Elephas maximus indicus: one gene and its partners. The protein of the gene in region 1 binds, or shares a complex with, the protein of each later gene. Links are inferred from orthologs where the notes say so. Each region holds a gene or a part of one and is shown on either strand. Other genes may lie near its edges. The genes, in order: GNAO1, GALR1 and CHRM2.

Region 1 (3,742 bases):
TTCTGGGTGGGCCTTAACTGCCTTCTTTCCCTGTTGCAAATGTATTTTTTGCTGGTTAACATTTCCAAAACTGGAGTTTTTTGGGGTTTTTTTTCCTATTGTTGAGTTTGCTTTCAGAGCCACAGAAATGCCCAACTGTTAGAAAAAACAGTTCCCACTGGCCACTCGTTCTTATTCCCACACAATCTTTCCTCTCGGACCCTTTCTCTAGAAGGGCCCCTGGGGCTGTCTGGTGGAACTAATTGTAAAACCATTTTGTGCAGTAAGAATTAACTGCTTCAAAGTCTCAGAGACCACCCAGAACAGGCCCAATCTTTGGCAAATTTGTACTTGTTTCCTTAATATTTGATTCATTGAGTTAACTGACCCAGGTTTCTGGGTCTTTATTTAAGATGGGAAAAAATGGCTCGAAAGATAAAAGAAGAAAATCTCTTCTTCTTTCACCAAAAATATTTAAAATGCATTTTGTGTTTGTGGCCGGGGCAGGACGAGAGATTTCGTGCACAGACCTCAACCAAGCTAAGTCATTCGAAATGTGCAAAAGCGTTTCAACTATGTTCAGGGAGCAAGCAGTTGCAAGCAGCTCACGCTTGCATTAGAATCTGTCCCTCTCCAAAGCTTCCCGAGTGTGGGAACTCTCCTGCCCTGGTGACGGCGGGAAACCCTGAGGCAAGGTCAGCGATGGCAAGGCGGGGAGGAGCCCCTGGAGAGCAGGCCCTGGCTTTTTTTCATCCTGCCGTGTGCTTCTCACAGCCTTGCCTCTCACATATTAGGTGCTCAATAAATGCTTGTGTAACGCAGAAAACGAAAAACCCAAATTTGCCCAGTGGCCTGGGCCGTTGACGCGAATCATCCGGAACGCAGGTTGATTCAGACCCACTACCTCCACCCGTTTACGGAGGTAACTGGCTGCTACGGCCTCAGCAGCCCAAGAGTAACCAAGAAGGCGAGCGGCTGGAGACAAGATGGAGAGGGAGCCGGAGAGAAAAAGAGGCCGCGCGGGGCGCTAGCTGGGGAGAGGCGGGTTAGGGGGGGCCCACCTGACCGCCGTGCCGGCGACCCAGCCCCGCGCTCCCATTGACAAGGAGGTCCGCGCAGTCCGCGCGCGGGGCGGGGGCGGGGCTCCCCGGAGCGCGCTCTCGGCCTCAGGCCCCGCCCCTGCCCGGCCGCGCACGCGCCCGCCCCGGGGGAGCCGCAGACCCGAAGGTGCTGGGGGAGGGGAGGCCGCGTCGCGCGCGCGCCGCCACGAACTGACGCGGGCCCGGTGCGCGCGCCTCCCCCCGCCGCCCTCCGTCGCAAGCCTTCCCAGTCCCGAGGGCCCAGCGCGAGGCCCTGCTGACGTCAGCGGGCGGCTCGCGGTGCTGGGTGCGCAGAGCCGCTGGCGCACTCGCGCGCTGCGCTCGCAGCCACCCCCCGTCGCTGCCTGGGCTCTGGCGCGCGCGCCCGCTCTCCCTTCATTTTTTCCCCTCCCTCCCTGCCTCTCTCTCTCTCTCTCTCCTTCCCCCGCGAGCTCCCGGCTGCCCGCGACTCCCTCGCGCTCTCCGTCTCTCTCTGGTAGGCTCCACCGAGCAATGAGAGCTCTGGGAGGCAGCGCCGCCGCCCCCTAGAGACCTGCCCCCGGCCCGGCCCCGTGCCCAGCCCTGCCCAGCGCGCGGGGGTCGGCGACGGCGCTGCGGACGCACCGACGGCGGAGGGCCGGCGATGCACATGCACTAGCGGCACCCCCTAACTCACTCCCTCCACACCCCGCGCCGCCGCCGCCGCCGCCTCCTCCTCCTCCGGCAGCAGCGGCAGAAGGACCCACCCTGCCCCCCACCACACCCTCCGCCGGCTCCGGCTGCGGCTCCAGCCTCGACTATTATTCTATTTATTTTGGGTGGTGCACAAGCCTCAGTGCCTGCAGCCCGCGCCTCCCTGGCCCGCGGCCGCCTCCTCCCTCGGCTCCGGAACCCCAGACCCCGACCACCCGCGTCTCAACACCTCCAGACCCCTGCCAGCTGCCTCGAGTCTCCGTTGCTGAAATTTGTTAGCGGCGGTCTTTTGGGGGAGTTCTGGTCTCCCGACATTTTTGTTTTCAGCCAAGGGGAGGATTTTTTTCCCCCTTTGAGCCAGGCTCTGCTCTCCGGGGGGGTGGGGGGCTCGTCGAGTCGGGGAGCCGTGCCAGCCGAGTCGTGCGGGCTGTGGCAGGGAAGGGGCCACCATGGGATGTACTCTGAGTGCAGAAGAGAGAGCCGCCCTCGAGCGGAGCAAGGCGATTGAGAAAAACCTCAAAGAGGATGGCATCAGCGCCGCCAAAGACGTGAAATTACTCCTGCTGGGTAAGGGCTACGTCTGCCACCCCCATTCCCCGACCCCGGCCACTCCGCACTTCCCTCAGCCACCTCCCCCACCCCACCCGCTCCCGGGGAGACCTGGTCCCCAAATGGGCACCACCATGTGCCCAGGGTCGCCGACCCCCAGCATGCCTTATCTCTACTCCCCCTGTTTCCTTAAGCTGACACTCACCAGTTTTCCCCCCTCCTGTCTGTGTCCCAACAGGGGCTGGAGAATCAGGAAAAAGCACGATTGTGAAGCAAATGAAGTAAGTCACTGTGGCATTGGGATTTGTACTTTTATTAAGAATAATTTTTAAAATCATTTTCATTACCTTGCTCATTCCACATTGCTCTCCAGGCCTGGTTTTTAATTCATGTATACACACACACACACCTCGATTTGGCTCCCCTCCCCGACACCCTACGTTGGTTCTGGGGTCCTCCACTCCAACTCCAGGGTGGGTGGGTTTTTTGTTTGTTTTTGTTTTTTTGAGGGGGGGAAGCGCCTGTAGTTATATGAATGACAGTGTCCGCCATATTGATCAGAACATCACACTATTGGCATGATTATGATATTACTCCTGCTCGTGGGGTGTTTCGTGTGTCTCTCTGCTCCATTTCAGTCTCTATCTCTGTTTCATTCTGTCTCTATTCCCCTTCCTCCTCCCCCCATCCCCCTCTCGTCCACAATCCCACTTTCCCCTGCTCTTCTCCTGGGGCACTGATTTTGAACTTGGCTAAAACATGGAGGGGACCCAGCCCTAGACTGGGGTGCAGGATCAAGTGTCTGCTGTTCTTGGATTTGGTGCTGAATTGGAGGCTGTACTTTCTGCCTCTTCCTCTCCACCGCCAAGGTTGAGGGTGGGGAAGGGGGCAGAGGACGAGAATTAGGGGAGGGGTCGTGTGTTGGGGGAAGGGAGTGAGTTTCCAAGCGGATGTGACTGGCACAGCTGTATCCAAGGCAGAGGTGGAAAGGGGACGCTGGTGTGAGGCTTAATGCCCGCCTCCTTGCTGCCCCCGGTCCCTCTCCGCCCCCACCCTCCCAGCGTTTGCTCTCCTGACGCCGGCAGTTTTCGATCACTCTGTGGCCTTTATCATTGTGTTTATTTACACTCTGCATAGGCCGTGTTCCGTGTAACCTACCCACAATGCGGATTTCAGGCCCCACTTGCCGCCGCCCCCTTTTGCCTTAGATATCAGTTTCCCCTCCTAATTAACTGGAGGTGGATTTGAGTGATGGTTGAAAATTAAAACAAAATGGGATATTGCTTCTCTTCTACACTTTCTCAATAAGGAGCCTCGCCCCTCCTTCCCACTCTCAGGCTGGCTTCTTGCCCACTCCACTTGGCAGTTCCTGGTGAGCTCTTGGGCAGCTCTGCTTGGGGAGGGGGTGGCTGGTGGGGAAGGGGTGCAAGCCCTCGGGGCCT
Region 2 (3,742 bases), on another chromosome or scaffold:
TTACGCGGCTCCGTTTTCTGTAAAAAAAAAAAAAAAAGAAAAAAAAATTTTTTTCTTTTGGCATAGCCACGTCTTACTGCAGCGATACGATATGAAACATTTTGCAACTTTACAAATATTTCGTATGTCAGTACTTCTGTTTATGACACTTGGATGAGTAACATAAGGCAAAAATGATCTCAAGTTGAGTGAGGTCAACACGACTCATATCCCCTGACCTTCTCAGACACGTTTAAGAAGAAAATTCAAAAAAGGCCGTTCTGTTTTCCTCCTGGCCACGTGGGGGGTGGGGGTGGAGGTGCCTAGGCAGCAAATTTTACCAAACTCCAGGTGGCAGCGCCAAGCGCATTTTCGTTTTGCACGTGGACACAGCCAACCCTGGATTTCTTGGGGTTTATTCCTGGGACAGGAGGCGCTCTCACTGACCGCGACCCAGGAGGGAGGGAGAGAAGGAGCAGTCCTCAGAATGAAGAAGGCTGCGCACCCGCCGCCTCCGTGCGCCGAGAACGCCCAAGCACGTCCAGCTCCCAGCGCACTGGGCCAGTAACCGCATCAGGCGAGCAGCAGCCCCAGATGAACCCGGAGCTCCGCGCCTTGCAGAGAAGAGAGTGCGCGGCTGAGCCCAGCAGGGAGATAGGCGGTGACCCGTCCCATTAGGACGCGACCAGCCTCCTACCGAGCGTGGTGACTTCCCAGGGACGGGGGAGGCACCTAGCCGGCCGGAGTCCTCGCTCCCTCTCAGTTGCAACCAAGGAGCCCCTGCGCACAACACTGCCGACCAACCAGGAAAGCGTAGAAGCGCTCTCGCTCTGTGGACTCCTTCCAGCCCCCGCAAACATTGAGAGGGAAGGGGAGCCTGGAGGAGCTCCAGGAGTACCGCCACGCCGGAGCCCTCGCCATCGGCCGCAGCAAGCAGGGCGCTTGGAGCAACAGGTGCGGCCGGCAGCCACTCCCGGCGCTAGCGCACGCCGCCAGCCGGGAGTGGAGCTAGTAAGGCTGTGGGAGGGGCTCCACCAAGGCCACAGCCCGCGCGTCCCTACAGCGCGGATCCGTGGCGGCGCCGCGGGCGGACCGCCGGGATCGGGGCCCTGGCCGCCCCCATCCCCGGGATAGCCGCTAGCGCACCCGACTCCCGTCTCACCGGCGGCTGCACAGCTAACGCGGGGCCGCGCGGTGTCGTGCGCCTCGAGGGCAGCTCCGGCGCGGGTACGCGAGCCCAGCTCTGGGCTGGGACCGCCGGCGTCCTCACGCTCCCCGCGCCCCGGCGCCGGGGCAATGGAACTGGCGGACGGGAATGTCAGCGAGGGCAACGCTAGCGGGCCTGAGTCCGGCGGCCCCGAGCCGCTGCCTCTGCTGGGCATCGGCGTCGAGAACCTGGCCACGCTTGTGGTGTTCGGCCTCATCTTCGCGCTGGGCGTGCTGGGCAACAGCCTCGTGATTACCGTGCTGGCGCGCAGCAAGCCGGGCAAGCCGCGCAGCACCACCAACCTGTTCATCCTCAACCTGAGCATTGCCGACCTGGCCTACCTGCTCTTCTGCATCCCCTTCCAGGCCACTGTGTACGCGCTTCCCACCTGGGTGCTGGGCGCCTTCATCTGCAAGTTCACCCACTACTTCTTCACCGTCTCCATGCTGGTCAGCATCTTCACCCTGGCCGCGATGTCCGTGGACCGCTATGTGGCCATCGTGCACTCGCGGCGCTCCTCCTCGCTAAGGGTGTCCCGCAACGCGCTGGTGGGCGTCGCAGTCATCTGGGCGCTGTCCATCGCTATGGCCTCGCCCGTGGCCTACCACCAGCGCCTCTTCCACCGCGGCGCCGGCAACCAGACCTTCTGCTGGGAGCAGTGGCCCAATCAGCGCCACAAGAAGGCCTATGTGGTTTGCACCTTTGTCTTCGGGTACCTGCTGCCGCTGCTACTCATCTGCTTCTGCTATGCCAAGGTGGGCGGGCGGCGCGCGTGAGGGCCTGGGGCGTCCACTTTTGTTTTCTGGGCTCTTCTGTGTGGAGAGCCTTCTCCACTCAGTTTTGCCCTCGCCTCTGCTTGGGTTTGCCGCTAGCGATTGCACAAGAAAGTTATTTGGAGTTTGAGAAATGTTGGAGACAGTATGCCCTTCACTTCCCAGATGTCCCTAGACGGCTCTCGCCTCCCCTCTCGGTTCCTGCAGCCTTGGCAGGAGAGGCGAGCTCAGCGCTCCCACCCCGCCCCCCTCAACTGGTGAAGAGCCGGCTCTGCTTTCTAACTCTCTGCCCCAGATCATCCGCTCGAAGAAATGAGGGTTGGAGGGACCGTAGGGCGCGCGCGCGGTGGCATGGTGGAGGGGCTTGTGGTACAGTTGCGGTCCCCGCGGCGCGCAGGGTGTGCGCTTGCCAAGAGAGGTTTTGCGGACACCCGGCTCTGGGAAGCCGCTGCTCTCGGGGGCAGAGCCACGCAGTTTATTGTACACACAAGTTTAGCTTAGAAAACCGCAAGTCGTAAACCAGTATTTCTGCACTTAGTCTTGGCTGGAGTGTCCAGAGAGGTTTGGAAGGAAGGAAACTGGAGGCATTGTGTTTCCATTTGAGTCCTGTTAGAAAGGCTGTGTAAACAATATGAAGTGGTTCAGGTCCAAAACCGAAACCAAACCCGTTGCCGTCGAGTCGATTCCGACTCATAGCTACCCTGTAGGTCACAGTAGAACTGCCCCATAGAGTTTCCAAGGAGCGCCTGGAGGATTTGAACTGCCGACCTGTTGATTAGCAGCTGTAGCACTTAACCACTACACCACCAGGGTTAGGTTAGGGGGAGTCTAAATCTCGGACTCTAGAGAAACACTCCGGACGCCTACCTGATTTCACTTCTGGCCTCTTCCTCACTGGGCAGACTGTTCTTGCCCTCCCTGTGCAGAACCTGGCCAGCTCCCTAAACACACCTGCTCTTTCATGAACAACATAAGATTTTGAAGATTTCATACATAATACCATATGGTGGCGACTTATGGGTTACACCCTAATATCTCCCAAGGCATTGTTTTCAGAGTAGTATCACCATTAGAAAAACACCAACATTCCCACCAATTTAACTTCATCTCTTTGTCTCTGATTTTATTTCTGCTAAGGCTGTGGCTGTAGAACCCTGAATAAATAGAAGACAGTGGTAGCAACAACAGTAATTCTTATTTTTCCAGAAAAATGTTTAACATAAACCATCTGATATGGGGTTCCCCCTCCGTCATCAATATAGAGTTGTATCTATATTTTGAACGGGAATAATTTTGGATATAATCTGAAAGAATGACTACACCAAGGGATTATATATAAAGAAATACAGTGGAGATAGGGAATTTGGAAAATAACTCTCAGTTATCTGGAAAATGGCGGATCTATTTATTTTGTTGTTAGGAGCTGTCAGGTCAATTCCTACTCATAGCAAACTCGTGTGTCTACAGAGTAGAACTGCTCCGTAGGGTTTTCTAGGCTGTAATCTGTACAGGAGCAGATCACCAGGTCTTTCTCCCTCAAGCCCCTGGGTGGGTTCAAACTACCAACATTTTGGTTAGCATCTGACCACTTAGGTCTTCACCACCAAGGCTCCTTTCTATATTTAGTGTCCCGCAAATTTGAAACAAAGGCTGGTTCTACCTGTCTCACGCGTTATCTCACTAATCTGCAAAGCAACCCCACGGGTTGGAACTGTTGTCTCTATTTTATTGATAAGGGAACTGAGTTTGGAGGAGTGATGTGACTGACACCAGATTATGAAGC
Region 3 (3,742 bases), on another chromosome or scaffold:
AAGCAAAGATGGCAAGACTTTGTCTCTTATATTTTGGACATTCTAACAGGAGGGACCTGTCCCTGGAGAAGTTCTTCATTCTGGGTAAAGTAGAGGGTCGGCAAAGGAGAGGCAGGCTCTCAATGAGATGGACTGACACAGTGGCTGCAACAATGGGTTCAAGCATAGCAACGATTGTGAGGATGGCACAGGATGGGGCTGTGTTTAGTTCTGTTGTACACGGGATCACTATGAGTTGGAGCCGACTCGATGGCACCTGACAACAACAACAACATGCCTTTCGACACCTAACAGAGGAGTGGACATCCTTAACTTGATTTTCATCTCTGTGATCTAAAAGGTGATGTCCGTAATTCCGGGTTATTCCATTTAAGATTTCAACGCTTCTTGTTAAGTTGCAGAAAGTGGATGAGACAAATGCAGCCTGTAAAATATATCATATGTTGATATTAACTTCATACACACGCTTTCACAAATACAAGTCTTGTCATCAGCTATGTCAGGGAATCAGATTATTCTCTGATCATCACTGGAGAGCCTACTTAATCTAATGAGTTGATTAGATGCAATTTGTGAAACAATAATGGGGTTAATACCTAAAAATAATGGGTACTCTGCTGGAAGCAATTTCTCATTAAAATAAAGAAAGAAAACTTACAGCTGATTCAAACATTTTTATCCCCCCCCCCCACGAAGATCACAAATCCACCAAAACGCCATGAATACTGTGTAGTCTAATGCCTAACAGTTGAGGAAAACATGGATATTGACTCCTGTTAAAAAAAAAAAATGCCAATGTCCCTCCAAGAAACCAACAATCTATGAATAGTTTACCAGGATTATGTTTACAAAGCATAACGGATTCATTCTAACACCTGGAAAACCGGGCTCAAGTATCTTCAGCGATCAGAAATCAGCTTTGAGTTCTTGCCAATATGTTGTAATCTTTCTAAGCGATCATAAACTTGCAAGAATGGAGCTGGGCCAAGGGGGCGGGGTGGTGATTGTACAGGTTCTGATCTACATCCATTGCAGATGGAGAGCTGGGCTCGGGATGGACGTGGAGAGGAGCAGAAGGAAACCTGGAGAAAAGGCTGTCATATTTGCTCAGAAGCACCGTCAAATCAGAGAGCAGAGGAGATTTCATTGGAGGAGCGCCTTCAACAGCAACTAATCCTGTCATATTGAAAGAAAATTGTAAATGTTCTCTCCAGAAATTGTCCGCCCATTGCAGCTAATCGGACACACACGCACGAACACAGACGCGCTCTCCTGCCATACCAAAGGCGCCTGGGCACAGGGACCCATCGAGCGCGCGCGCGCACACACTCACACACACACACACGCATGCACACCAGTCTGCGGGTTGGCCAAAGCCCTGAAATCGCACATCCCGCTAGGACATAGCCAGAGGCACCCGGAGTAGGTGTTGCCCTCCGCACTAATCACTCCTTCCCCAAGCACTTTGGTGAAGAAATGAATCCTGCCCAGCTCGCAGGTCCACCCAGGTCTCGGTTCTCTTTCGCTCTCCCGACTCATCTTCTCCGTGAAAGCCAGGTTTGAAAGTCTGGTTTGCATCTCCTTTGGTGTTTGGTGTGGCGGGCGGGGGCAGCGTCCATTTCACTCCAGTCTCAACCGCCACCGGGTTCCAGACGCTCCAAGCGGCTGGGACTGGCGCGGGGAGCGCGACTCTGCCGGCGCGCGCCCGAGCCCGCAGCTCCTTACCAAGCCCGGGGCTGCTCTCCCGCCTCTCCCCGCCCCACCCCTCAGGGCGGCGCGGCACCAACTCATCTTTGCCTTTTCTCTTGCAAGAACCAGGGAGACAGCGAGCCGGCGGCGGGCTCCGGACTCTGAGCGGTGCGCAGCTCGCGCCCCAGCCAGTGGCCCAGAACCGGCGAAGGGCTCCGCTGGCGCAGCCTTCACCCGCAGATCGCAGCCAGAGCAGGTATGAGCCCGCGCCCCGTGCCCACGCAGCCCCAAGCCGCGCGGGGCCCTCCTGGAGCTGGGACCAGGGCGCAGAGGTGGAGCTGGGGGTTGGGGAGTGGTCCCCCTCGGTACAGACTCGTCAACGGAAACTTTGGCCCCGGGGCTGGGAGGGCAGATGGCAGCGAGCACCGGTCTGGGAGGAAGGGGCGCGGAGTTCTGTGGAACGTGGAGAAGGCAGAGGGGAGCCGGGGGCTGCGCCTGCACGGGCAGCGTGCCCTCTCCAGCCGCCATCCCTGCGCCCTCGCCCGCCCTCTCCCCTCAGATGCAGTCATGGAAAAGGCAAGCGGAGCTTCGCCTCTCCCGCCTAGAGCCCCTCCTGCTGGGGTTCTGGCCTCCTGTCCGTGCGCGTTGGTGGCTGCGGGGTAGCCCGGCTCCGCGCGGTCCCCGCCTCCGCCTCCGGAGAAGCCCTCTGGGCGGCCGCTCTGGGTCGCGGGACCGAGGCGCTGCAGCTGTGAACCGCCGCCAAAAGGAAAGGCGGGGGGGGGGGGTGAGACTGGGGAAAGGGTCCCAGAAACGGGGAGGGGGCCTTCTGGATCCCCATCCCACTTTGTCCCCGCGCACAAGGTCTCTGTCCGGCCAAGTCGGGGACAGGGTCTCCAGCTTTGCCACCCCGCCCACCCCTCACGACCGGCCCCGGCCACCTTGGTGGTGCTCCGGGTAGGAGTCAGGGCCGCTGGCCCCCGCTGGTTCCCGCCGTCAGCACCTGGGGCCTGGCGCCAGCCACTCACCTGTAGCACGGGGGCTGGCAAGGCGCCGGACCGACAGCAGGGACATCCCTCCTGCGCGCCTGCCGGGCCTGTGCGCCCCTGGGTGGGGGCGGCCCTGCTGGAGCGGTCGGCGGAAAATGCCCCGAGTTACCGACAATGAGGAACGCACCCCGCCACTCTCTCCAGCGCCCGCAACCCTATCTTCTTCCCTTGTGCCTGCCGCCATCCTCGAGACCTCTCTGAGCCAAAAATCGTCCAAGGCCGGGTGGCCAAGCCCGCCTGGCCCTGGCCGCGAGGTCTAGGCTCGGCGTGCCTGGAAACACCGGTGCGGCAGGCACTCAGACGGGAGGAGTGCAGAGAGATGGAGGCAGCGCCTCAGGCAGGTTGTCATCTCGCCCAAGCCGTCCCCGCCCCGTGTCCCTGTGTCACTTCACGGCCACGGCTGGGCCGAGACTGCGGCCGCCAGGGCTCCGAGTGCGCCCGCCCCAGCGCGCAGCCCCCGGACTGCTCCCCGGCCTCAAGCCCCAGAATCCCCCATCGACTTTCTATTTCCCCTACTTCTTTTCTGTTTTGTTTGTTTTGCTTTTCTTTCTCTTTTTCTTAGCGCTGGGTGGCACTGGTAGCCGTGTGGTTTCCCGTCCCCTATACATGCAGACAGCAACACCGGCGCACTTCCCCACATGCCGCCACACATCGCCGGCGCCCAGTGCACAAGCGGTCCCGCCCCGCCGCCCCGCAGAGGGTGGCCAGGAGGGTAGCCAGCCCGCACTGGGGAGAGGAACCCTGGGGCCATGGAAAAACCGGCGAGACACCCGGCTTTGGATTGGGGGGTGGAGGCAGGCTCCGGGGACGTGGCACACGGCGTTCTGGCTGTGAGGAGCCTTCAGGGCGCTGGGAGCTGCAGCGCCGCAGGCCACCGCCCCGCTCGGCTTGACCCCGGGCGGCACCTTTCTCTGCCGGCCCAGGGAAGTCCAGGTGCCAGGCACTGGGGAGACCGCTCTTCGCCCCATTCCGGCCATTGTGGTGTCACGGAATTGAGAGGGCTCTGA

The links.
Region 2: the proteins of GNAO1 (region 1) and GALR1 are in contact, whole or in part, in a cryo-EM structure (PDB 7XJJ), measured with the Homo sapiens proteins. The link is inferred for Elephas maximus indicus from reciprocal best matches to the Homo sapiens genes GNAO1 and GALR1. Residues at the interface, in NP_066268.1 of Homo sapiens: Ser264, Asn316, Glu318, Tyr320, Asp337, Asp341, Ile343, Ile344, Ala345, Asn347, Leu348, Arg349, Gly350, Cys351, Gly352, Leu353, Tyr354; in NP_001471.2 of Homo sapiens: Thr70, Arg133, Ala136, Ile137, Ser140, Arg141, His226, Leu227, Leu231, Asn233, Ser235, Lys236, Lys237, Ser238, Ala240, Ser241, Lys244, Thr245, Thr248, Leu306, Ser307, Glu308, Asn309.
Region 3: the proteins of GNAO1 (region 1) and CHRM2 are in contact, whole or in part, in a cryo-EM structure (PDB 7T8X), measured with the Homo sapiens proteins. The link is inferred for Elephas maximus indicus from reciprocal best matches to the Homo sapiens genes GNAO1 and CHRM2. Residues at the interface, in NP_066268.1 of Homo sapiens: Lys24, Ile28, Ala31, Lys32, Leu195, Tyr320, Asp337, Ala338, Thr340, Asp341, Ile343, Ala345, Asn347, Leu348, Gly350, Cys351, Gly352, Leu353, Tyr354; in NP_000730.1 of Homo sapiens: Asn58, Arg121, Cys124, Val125, Pro128, Leu129, Thr130, Pro132, Val133, Lys134, Thr136, Ile209, Ser213, Lys214, Ser215, Arg216, Ile217, Arg381, Lys384, Val385, Thr388, Ile389, Cys443.

What each region holds. Positions count from the first base shown.
Region 1 is NC_064839.1:23,239,148-23,242,889, forward strand, and holds the start of GNAO1 (guanine nucleotide-binding protein G(o) subunit alpha), read left to right. Parts: upstream 1-1,450; 5' UTR 1,451-2,200; coding exon 2,201-2,318; intron 2,319-2,538; coding exon 2,539-2,581; intron 2,582-3,742. UniProt on the Homo sapiens protein: Guanine nucleotide-binding proteins (G proteins) function as transducers downstream of G protein-coupled receptors (GPCRs) in numerous signaling cascades.
Region 2 is NC_064829.1:84,371,142-84,374,883, forward strand, and holds the start of GALR1 (galanin receptor type 1), read left to right. Parts: upstream 1-1,275; coding exon 1,276-1,941; intron 1,942-3,742. UniProt on the Homo sapiens protein: Receptor for the hormone galanin. The activity of this receptor is mediated by G proteins that inhibit adenylate cyclase activity.
Region 3 is NC_064826.1:13,076,652-13,080,393, reverse strand, and holds the start of CHRM2 (muscarinic acetylcholine receptor M2), read left to right. Parts: upstream 1-1,463; 5' UTR 1,464-1,557; intron 1,558-1,812; 5' UTR 1,813-1,945; intron 1,946-3,742. UniProt on the Homo sapiens protein: The muscarinic acetylcholine receptor mediates various cellular responses, including inhibition of adenylate cyclase, breakdown of phosphoinositides and modulation of potassium channels through the action of G proteins.